2 linked regions of the Arabidopsis thaliana genome follow. The protein of the gene in region 2 interacts with the protein of the main gene of each other region in a biochemical or structural test. Each region holds a gene or a part of one and is shown on either strand. Other genes may lie near its edges. The genes, in order: DEG1 and CP29.

The links.
Region 1: the proteins of CP29 (region 2) and DEG1 form a complex in vitro, tested with the Arabidopsis thaliana proteins (one study listed by BioGRID).

The regions. Positions count from the first base shown.
Region 1 is NC_003074.8:10,365,067-10,370,844, reverse strand, and holds DEG1 (DegP protease 1), read left to right. Parts: upstream 1-1,900; 5' UTR 1,901-1,980; coding exon 1,981-2,402; intron 2,403-2,491; coding exon 2,492-2,614; intron 2,615-2,772; coding exon 2,773-2,944; intron 2,945-3,065; coding exon 3,066-3,103; intron 3,104-3,330; coding exon 3,331-3,529; intron 3,530-3,647; coding exon 3,648-3,800; intron 3,801-3,903; coding exon 3,904-4,038; intron 4,039-4,108; coding exon 4,109-4,186; 3' UTR 4,187-4,236; exon of another isoform or gene 4,237-4,496; intron 4,497-5,176; 3' UTR 5,177-5,193; downstream 5,194-5,778. Other genes in the region: AT3G27930 (beta-galactosidase), read left to right, coding at 1-46, 238-279, 396-472, 567-657, 749-830, 922-994, 1,084-1,252. UniProt on the Arabidopsis thaliana protein: Serine protease that is required at high temperature. May be involved in the degradation of damaged proteins. In vivo, can degrade beta-casein.
Region 2 is NC_003074.8:19,818,597-19,823,591, reverse strand, and holds CP29 (chloroplast RNA-binding protein 29), read left to right. Parts: upstream 1-2,072; 5' UTR 2,073-2,168; coding exon 2,169-2,555; intron 2,556-2,703; coding exon 2,704-2,868; intron 2,869-3,215; coding exon 3,216-3,689; intron 3,690-3,788; coding exon 3,789-3,854; 3' UTR 3,855-3,900; exon of another isoform or gene 3,901-3,924; intron 3,925-3,991; 3' UTR 3,992-4,356; downstream 4,357-4,995. Other genes in the region: AT3G53470 (2,3-bisphosphoglycerate-independent phosphoglycerate mutase), read right to left, coding at 294-574, 650-779. UniProt on the Arabidopsis thaliana protein: Stabilizes specific chloroplast mRNAs. Required for normal chloroplast development under cold stress conditions by stabilizing transcripts of numerous mRNAs under these conditions.

The sequences.
Region 1 (5,778 bases), 9.5 Mb from region 2:
GACTCCTTCTTTTAACATTGGCATTGAACTAGCAAGAAGCTCTCAGGTGATTCTTTTAAAATCCGTGTAGATGAAAACATGTTGTTTTGCTGTCTGTATGCACAAGTCTTAACCCCAAACAATTTTTCAGTATCTCATGGAACTTGACAAACGACCACATTATTTATCTAATGGCATATCATCCATTTTGTAGCATTTTTAGTCTTGCTGATTATGTTATCTTTCTTGTAAATGCAGTTTATTGCTTCGTTCTACCAACACGTAGTGGTCCAAAGACGGGTACAACTCTTTCAAACAAGTCCTTTTTCTGTGCTGCATCTTATACTAGTCTTCCATATATAAAGTTTAGCACATCTTTGGCTCAATATGAAATCGATTTAATGGACTTGGAACAGGTGCAAAATCCTTTCGAAGAAAACCAAGTAGTTGGAATCACAAACTACATTGATTTTGGTTTTGAGCTACAATCGAGGTAGTGAACATCTCTAAGTAAAAAAAAAAAAAACATTGTAGCTACTGTTTGTCTATACAGAAACAGAACTTTATATTTCGTCTTAATATTGAAGGGTTGATGATTCCAAGACGCCACCCAATGCCCCAGATTCTTTATTGCAGGTGGCTGCGTCTTGGCAGGCCAACAAGAACTTTTTGCTGAAGGTATAAAAAAATATTTACCTTATCGAGTTACTCAAAAAGAAACCATTTATCTCAAATTTTGCTCAGTATGTAACATTTTCAACTTTTGCAGGGTAAAGTCGGAGCTCATAGCTCAACATTGTCATTAGCATTCAAGTCGTGGTGGAAACCGTCTTTCGCATTCAATATTTCAGGTATGCGTTGATAAATAACCTGAATGCAGCGAAATCAAGATGAACATAGGTTCTTGGTATTTGAACATGTTTGGACTCATTTTTTATGCAGCAACAACTAATCATAGGACTGGAAATGTCCAATGTGGGTTCGGTCTACGTGTTGATAACTTAAGAGAAGCCAGGTCAGTCCATTTGTGACAAGTTTAAAATTAAATCAACCCTCTTTAGCTTCATGATCTTCTTCACATTGTTTTATTTTGTGAAATTGCAGTTACCAAAGAGCTGATCCAAACTTTGTAATGCTGACACCGAACAAAGAACATTTAGCTGAAGGGATTGTGTGGAAAATGGGGAAGAGACCAATGTATCAAGCCGATGTGGACGCAGAGAATTTTAGTGAGCTGCCAAAAGAACTTAGACCGTCCCAGAAGATTCTCTAAACTACACCATTAATCTTTTTGCACTTTTATCTAGTAGATTTAGATATCAACCAAGTCAAGTATTTAATAAGTTCGACGAAAGAAGAATTACTTAGGAATAACCATTTTTACTCTTATGGAGTACAAGTGTTTAGTGTTCAAAATTAGGAGTGGATTATCTGGTTTAAACTCTTAAGTTTGGTCTTTTTGGGCTTTTGATTTTTCGAAGTTCTTAAATGAAGCGAAATCCTGATTTGTTTTTGGACTTTTCATTCGGTTTGGAACGATATTTATATGGGATGATATATTACGGGTGAACAAATATCAAACAAAAACAAAACAAATAATATAAAGAAATACAACTTAAATTTAAAAATTTTAAAAAATCGATTATTGGTGTACTACGGGTTATGGATATAAGTAACAACATTCTTTATAATATTTACCATAATAAAGGTTACTGTTTAAATTTATTTTCAAAGTACAAAAAGTTTTCGATTCAATTTGATTCGGTAACAAAAAAAAGACCCGGTTTTGTTTATTCCAGATTCATAAGATCATAAAATAGTGGTTTACTAAACAAATTTCAATTCAATTTCGGTTCGATTCGGTTACGTATACAAAACCATAGCTTCGCATAGAAAAACCATTATTTTCAAAAATTAATATTTTTAATTACAAAAAAAAATGAAATAAAACAGAGACCACAATCCCATTGTCCCATGACCAGAAGAAGAAGAAGAAACTAAATGGCGACGACGACGAGTTGTTCGCTTCTCCTTTCTTCCACTCTCTTCCTTCACTCTCCTCCTTCTTCTCACCTCTCCTTCTTCAATCTCTCTTCTTCACGATCCTCTCCAATTTCTCTTTACCCAATCCGATCCAAACGCTATTTCCGAATCCTCTCGAAGCTTTCACTAAACGACAACAACAGAGACGACGATGATGATACTCTTCATTTTACTCCGTTCTCCGCCGTTAAACCTTTCTTCCTCCTCTGTACCTCCGTCGCGTTATCGTTTTCACTCTTCGCCGCTTCTCCCGCCGTTGAATCTGCCTCGGCGTTTGTAGTTAGTACTCCGAAGAAACTTCAAACTGATGAGCTCGCGACGGTTCGTTTGTTTCAAGAGAACACTCCTTCCGTTGTTTACATCACTAATCTCGCCGTGAGGTATCTGAATTTGATTTCTCTCTGGTGAATTTCGTTTTGAATTTCTTCTCTCCGTGATTTGAGGATTGGTCTAATGTTGTTTGAATTAGGCAGGACGCGTTTACATTGGACGTTCTTGAGGTACCTCAAGGCTCTGGTTCAGGATTTGTGTGGGATAAGCAAGGTCATATTGTTACCAATTACCATGTTATTCGTGGTGCTTCTGATCTCAGGTTAGTTATGTTGAAACTTTGAGAATCTGATTGATTTTTGATAGAAATTGGAATTAGTAATTGTTGTATTCTTAGTTTTATAATGAGTACATTGTTTCTTTGGATGGTTTCTTTTGATGTTTGTGTATGATAAGGAAGTTGGATGATGTATATAACAGGGTCACTCTTGCTGATCAAACAACATTTGATGCAAAAGTTGTTGGATTTGACCAAGATAAGGATGTTGCAGTATTACGTATTGATGCACCGAAAAACAAATTAAGACCTATACCTGTTGGAGTCTCTGCTGATCTGCTTGTTGGCCAGAAAGTCTTTGCCATTGGCAATCCAGTGAGTATACATCCTTAAAGTGATCATAGATTAAAGCTCTGCTTTGTGTTTTCTATTGCTAGCTAGGTCAATACTTATGTTTCTTGTTCATACGCACTAAAGCAAGAACTTTTTTGTGCAGTTTGGACTTGATCATACTCTCACAACTGGTGTTATAAGGTATGTTAAATTATATTTGTCTTCTCTTTTTTTTAAGTTGCATTCTACTCTAATCAGATGTGTTCTTCTCATAACGAACTCACAAATGAAAGTGTCAAAAAAGATGATTGGTACTTGAGGATACTGGATACATATATTTTCTCTTGCCCCTCTTCATGCCAAATGGCTATACTATTCCTTTTCTCTTATTAAAACTGTAGCATGTTTGTGCATTATGATTTGTACAGTGGTTTGCGAAGAGAAATTAGTTCTGCTGCAACTGGTCGTCCAATTCAAGATGTGATACAGACAGATGCAGCCATTAACCCTGGTAACAGCGGAGGACCTCTTCTAGATAGCTCAGGAACGTTAATTGGTATAAACACAGCCATTTATTCTCCTTCTGGTGCATCTTCTGGAGTGGGCTTTTCGATCCCAGTTGATACAGTGAGTTCTCTCTTCTTTTTTACCCATTGCAAATCTGATCAGATAGAGTCTTTCTCTATCATTGAATCCACTAACGGGAGACTAAAGTTGTTTCGAGCTCTGTTTCTCTCATGTTCAGGTTGGTGGTATCGTTGATCAGCTGGTGAGATTTGGTAAAGTCACCAGACCAATCTTAGGTATCAAATTCGCACCGGACCAATCTGTTGAGCAATTGGGAGTGAGCGGTGTGCTCGTCTTGGATGCTCCTCCAAGTGGTCCAGCCGGCAAAGCCGTAAGCTCTTCCTGTTTCCAAGTTTCCATATAACAGATATTTTCTCTATGTTTCACTCCGCGGTTTTAATATTGAAATGTGTAAAATTGGTTTTGTTCCACAGGGACTTCAGTCAACAAAACGTGATGGTTACGGGAGACTAGTACTAGGAGACATAATCACGTCGGTGAACGGTACAAAAGTCTCTAACGGGAGTGATCTGTACCGGATTCTCGATCAATGCAAAGTCGGCGATGAGGTAAACTCCGCAGTTTTTGTCAATTAGTTTCTGCATCCGAGATAGTTTTGACACTGATGATGTTGATTAGGTGACCGTAGAGGTTCTAAGAGGCGATCACAAGGAGAAAATCTCTGTAACTCTCGAACCAAAGCCGGACGAGTCTTAGAAACGTCGTTGAAAGAAGTAAATATACATAACGTGTAGAAAAAAAGTCCGGTGGGTTATATTTTTGTATATCAATTGTTCGGAAAATAGATCGTCCAATTGTGTACATAAAATCTGTTTATATTTGCATACATGCGAAAGGTAACCGGAAATAACCAAAATTGCAATGTCTTCAAACGGTCTTATGGTTTGGATTGGTTTTTAATTTCGGTTCAGACATTGGGAGTGACGAGTCTGACACCTAGAAAAAATCAAAATGAGAAAAATGAAAACCGAATTTCGTCGGCTTAATGGACAGTTACCTCATCTTAGCAATGATGCATAGTACTGATTTTGCGGCTTTGTAGTACCAAATTTTTTTTTCAACACTCTCTCGGATGCATAGTACTGATTTTGCAATGATGCATAGTACTGATTTTGCGGCTTTGTAGTACCAAAATAAAATTTCATGATTGTGCGGCTTAGCAATGATACATATTACATAGTACATTAGTACTGATTTTGGACCTTTATTTTAGTCGAGACAATTCTGAACTTACGGATTCCGAAGTTAACAAAGTCCTTTTATAGCTTTTATTCAGTTCCGAACATGGTTACTTTTTATACATGAAACTTCCTAAAATTTTACATCTACAAACATTCGAGTTTGAAAATTTAATGGTTTGATTTTCGACTCATTACCAAGAATTTCTTTTTGATATTATTCTTCATGATTTATCAAAAGATGTACGTGTATTATATGGTTATGTCTTGAGTTCATGTCATGTGTTCGAATCTTTATAATATAGTCTTACACGGTTTAGGTTATTTGTTCAATTGTTAAGTCATTTTACGGTCCCTATTTCACATTATGTTAGTTTTTTAAAATATTTAAAACAACGTACTGTAGTTTTGATAAATTATTGAGTTTTTTTATTAAGTTGTGAACGCATGCTCTCGTTGAGAGATCATTTACTCGAGCTAAGTTATGACTTGGATGGTTGTGTTGCAGGTGAAAGGTAGCTTTGCAAAAAAAAAAAAAGTTTGAGGTTATGTCTGCATGTTTCCCTGTATACAAACTCAACCATTTGTATTTTATTTTTTGGGTGCAAAAACTATAATTTACGTAGTTTTTGAACACTTTCATAACATCAAATATTACCCACGTGATAAGTGAAAACGAACCGAATATGTAATGATCAGCGAAGGTCCCTACGTGGAATTTAATATTTGTGTCATTCTTTTTAAGCAACACCAACAAGACACTGACATGGGTTGGTATTTATAAATTTGCAACGTAAAGTATATGTAGTAAGATTGTATCTTCTATGGTTGGGACTGTATCTAAACCAAACCGGTTTAATAGGGTATATATTTTTTTTGTCTTTGTCTTTGAATTTGTGGGGTCATAAATCACGGGCATCTTCATTTGGAAATGTATTCATAGTAATGTATATAAACTACTTTCGAGCCGACTTGGTAATGATTACGAGAATCCTCTGCTTTTGGAGTAAATTTCTAATTTAATATGTACGTGTATCTAGATATATATACGACGACATGTCGTTACCCAAATGCTTCGTTAGAGGATAGCTTGTTGAGAACTTGACTATG
Region 2 (4,995 bases):
ATTGAGTTCTACCATCTACGAAAACCGTTTATCATTCATTTTTAACTACTGTAAACATTTTCAACGGCAAAAAAATACACGAATTTCTATAAACTTCAGGGGATTAATCTTGATTTCGGCTCATGATCTATCTCGGTTATTACAAAAACAAAAAGGGCTCTATTATACTGCGTTTTTATTTGCTTGACTGTAGAAACTGCGATCTTATTATTTGGCAAAAGTAGTAATGCATATAAACAGTAGAAACAACAGATTCAGAATCTGATCTAAATGAAAGATGAATGAGATTATTATCACTTGACAGGAGCAAGAATGGTGTAGAGAAGGAGGAATGAGACAATGACGATGGCTCCAACAAGTGTGAACCTTGGACTTGTCCAGAGCATGAGATTGGATCTCTCTGTTCTTTTTATAGGATCGACTTCTTCCGACAAATCAAACTCCGATCTGGGAGGATTCCAAGTCACGTACTTGTCCACGTTGAATTGCGAGAACAATGACTTCTTGCTCTGCTTCTTGAAATTCTTCCACGCCTTGTCCCAGTCCGTCGACGCTTTATCACCACCACCACCTGCTATAAACCAAATAAAACCGAATTTAACCGATTATAATCTACCAACGAACATAAGCTTCGAGATCAGACTCTCACCGTTGGACTCGTTTCCCTTTCGAGGAGGTTCGTTGTTGGAGCAACGGAATCTAGAGGAAGATGAGAATCTAGGGGTTATCCGGATTAGATTGGAGGATTTTAAGCCGGAGATTCGAACAGTAATGTCCATTTTCCGATTTCGGTACGGACAAAATAAGAAGAAAAAGTATCTGACTGTTGTGTTCTTCTTCTCTTCTTCGATTCTCCGCCGGACAATGTTCCTTAGCCATTTTCAATCTCTTCTTACGTCTTCGCTAGCGACACGTGGCTATCAATGGGACCCATTCTTATTATGAATCTGAACCGGGATGGTTATTAAACGGTTAAATTCGGGTTTGGGAAATACCCGATCCCAGACTAGACATCTCCAGCTTAACCGGCTCTAATAAGTAACTCTTTGCTAATTTTATTCATTATCCAAACCTAAACCTCAGCAATGGAGAGCTAGGGTTTATCTCTCGGATCCATTGTCTCCTGAATACAGACGTGAACCGGAGAGGAGGCTTTGGGACAGAATTGATGATTTGGTTCGAGAAGATGGCATCTTCTGGTAGTATTGACTATTGAGCCTAATGCTACAACAGTTAGTCAGTTACATACTCTTCCTTAACTTAAGCCGGAACACACTATATTTGGAATCTTAATTGAAAATTTGTGCAAGGCTTACTCATGACTATAAATTCATTTTTGTTGCCTATTATTTTTACCTTTGATTTTCATTTCCAACAAAAAGGAAAAAAACAAACAAACAAAAAAAATCTGGAAAACAAGTGAAACTGTATCAATATTACATAAACCTCAAAATTATGGTATCAGTGGTTACTTAATAGTTAAGAACGAGTTGAAGATCCATACTGGAGCCTCAGTGTACAGTCTCTCTAGTTGCATTTTTTCCTTTGGCTTTTAGTAATGGCCTTATCTTCTCACTAGACCCACTCTCTTATTCCTTCTCTTTAATCTACACCGTCCATCCAATTTGGACGCACCAGATCTTATCACACATACCATTCACTTCATTGAAAAATTACTATATAACAGAAAAAAAAAACTCAATTGGTTTGAGTAACTCTTCTTTTAAGCTCCTCAAGCTTACTGTAAAAAAAAAAGTATATTTGAAATTTCTAAATTTTCAATATAATTATTTATTAATCTGTTTTCATTTCATTAGTAAACAGTAAACACAACATTTATATTTGTGTTGTCATATTTTCGTACTTAATGAATCAAACAATAAGATCAATGCTATTTTTATATTTTATGTAACAAAGTAACTTTTATTTTTACCAACTCTTTTGACTGACACAGATTTTAGTAGGTAAAAAAAAAATCCAAGTGGGAGATATTTCAAGTGGATAAAGATTTTTATTTTTTGCAAAGAAAAAACGAAAAGTTCCATTTTTTTTGCCAATAAATATCAAAAACTGGACTTGTTATCTCGCAGAACCCTTAAACCTTATCTCTTCACCACCAGCTTCTCAAAGCTTTAGCCTCGAGAGCAAAATTCTCTCAAGCTTTAGCCATGTCTGCCTCTGCTTCTTCCCTCTCTGCTTTCAATCCTAAATCCCTTCCTCTCTGCGTCTCCAGACCCGCTTCCGTCTCCGTCTTACCTCCTTCCCTCTCCTTCAAACTTCACTCCGACCACCTCGTCTCTATCTTCGCTTCCTCCGCCCTCAAATGCTCATCCCCCGCCGAGTACCCGTCGCGTTTCGTTAGAAACGTTGCTGTATCTTCGGATTTTGAGGTGGAGGAAGATGATATGTTCGCTGACGGTGACGATTCAGCGCCTGTGGAGCGTAACTCCTTCTCTCCTGACCTTAAGCTCTTTGTTGGTAACCTTTCTTTTAACGTTGATAGCGCTCAGCTTGCTCAGCTCTTTGAGAGCGCTGGAAATGTTGAGATGGTTGAGGTAAGATAAATTTAGGTTTCTGTTTTCAGATTTGGATTAATTATCTTTCTTAATTGGGTTTGAATCGTTTTGAGTAGAGTTAAAGTGAGAACATAGCTAAAGGTTTGAGATTGTTTTCATTTGTGATGAAATGAGTTTGATATTGTAGGTTATCTATGACAAAGTGACTGGCCGGAGCAGGGGTTTCGGATTTGTGACAATGTCAACCGCAGCGGAAGTTGAAGCAGCAGCTCAACAGTTCAATGGCTATGTAAGCAGATACTTGTGTTCGCTACTGTGTCTTTACTTGTTGATAAGAGTTTTGTGTGGACTTGTTTGTTTATTGAGTTGCTTGTATTGTTTCTTGTTCTTGGCTTGTGTGTAATGTGGAATTCCATGAATTGGATTGTATGAACGTTTGAGATAGAGAAATAGTGTTGTTTATCTTCTGTTTGGTTTGTGGAGACTTCGTGGTTGATGTTGTTTTATATTCTGCTGATAAGATGCATCTTCTTCTAGGTTGTTCGTGTTTCTCATTTGGGATATAAGTAGCCGATTTAGATTTGTACATTTGTTTTTGTCACATTGTCTTGTTGTTCATACCTTCAAGCTTGTCTTTTGGATTTCTTACATTACTACACTGGCTGTTTTCATTAATCCTGTTGATTTTTAACATTTCAGGAATTTGAAGGCAGACCTTTGAGAGTCAATGCTGGCCCTCCTCCACCTAAAAGAGAGGAATCCTTCTCCAGAGGACCAAGAAGTGGAGGTTACGGTTCTGAGCGTGGTGGAGGTTACGGTTCCGAGCGTGGTGGTGGTTATGGTTCCGAGCGTGGTGGTGGTTATGGTTCCGAGCGTGGTGGTGGATACGGTTCTCAACGTAGTGGTGGTGGTTACGGAGGGTCTCAACGTTCCAGTTATGGTTCGGGGTCAGGGTCCGGTTCGGGCTCAGGTTCAGGAAACCGTCTCTACGTGGGCAACCTTTCTTGGGGTGTTGATGACATGGCACTTGAGAACTTGTTTAACGAGCAAGGAAAGGTAGTTGAAGCTAGGGTTATCTACGACAGGGACAGCGGTAGATCCAAGGGTTTTGGATTTGTGACACTTAGCTCTTCCCAAGAGGTTCAGAAGGCGATCAATTCCTTGAATGGAGCAGTAAGTATCATCACTTCTCTTCTTTGCATAATAATTTATTCGATTGGTACTTCTTACTGTAAATATCAAATATCTAACTCATGTGTTACTTTCCTAAAGGATTTGGATGGAAGACAAATAAGAGTCTCAGAGGCTGAGGCTAGGCCACCAAGAGGCCAATTTTGAGCGGTCACACCTCTTTCATATTCTCAAAAAATGCAAATTCTGGAGGGTAAGAATCGCAATTCTCAGCCATGTTCTGCTATTTCCATTCTGAATCATATATTGCCTTGCTTAAGACAGTTGAATCTCGAATGTAACAGGTTCTTTGAAGCATATAGGGTTAGTGGAAAATGGCGGTTTCAGACAGTAACTAAAACTCACTGCTGGTGCACGCTAGGCTTTATCCGCCTTTGATGCATGAAGGTCGTTAAGGAATGGTCTTTTTTTGAGAAAGATAACAATTAGATTAAAGCAGAGAACCCATGTTTCTTGTCTGTTCGAATCCTGCGAGATTGGTTGTAGTTGAAGTTGCATTTTCTTCTTGTCTTTTTTGTTGGTATTTTGACACAATTTGGCTTTTTGGCATATGAGAGTGACTGTAGCAGTCTGTTTTATTTGATGTTCGTGATCTTCTTATGTTCTGAAAACCAGTTTTCCTAAAACTTAACAAATTTCGATATGGAACAAGAAATTTTCTGGAAGGGTTTGATTGTGTGAGGTTGTATTGTCAGTTCTCATATGAACCCAGTGCATATGCTCTGGGATTCAAAACTTTATAGTTTGGTGTAATCCGTATTATATATCCCAATTTTATTAAATGGGCCTAAACGCTAGTACAATGATGGATTATACCGCTAAGAGATTGAAATGGGCCTAAACTCTGAGATTGATTCGGACTATATTCTTCAAGCACGGCCCATTGACACCCCTTCTAATTTTCAACACTAATACCAATGTCAATACATATGGTGTGCGGATGTCACGTGACGATGGTATCTTCGACGTCATTAGGTGAAAAAAGAGAATATTTATATTATTGGTAGAACGAAAAGGTAAGAACAAATGGGGCATAGCAATGACCGAAAGCAGAGAAGAGAAACATTGAAGTGAAGAAATGGAAGATTATGTCTCAAAAATAAAGAACACAAGAACATAAATGTCACTTTGCTCTTTCACCATCATACTTCCACCACTCTTCCTGCCTACAAGTTAGGCCTTTTACTAACTCTTTTTTCGTTTTGTCTTCGTATATCAATCAACCACCATGACCCTATACACGTATGTTATAGATATGACGTATATTATTAAGGTTGAGTAATGTTAT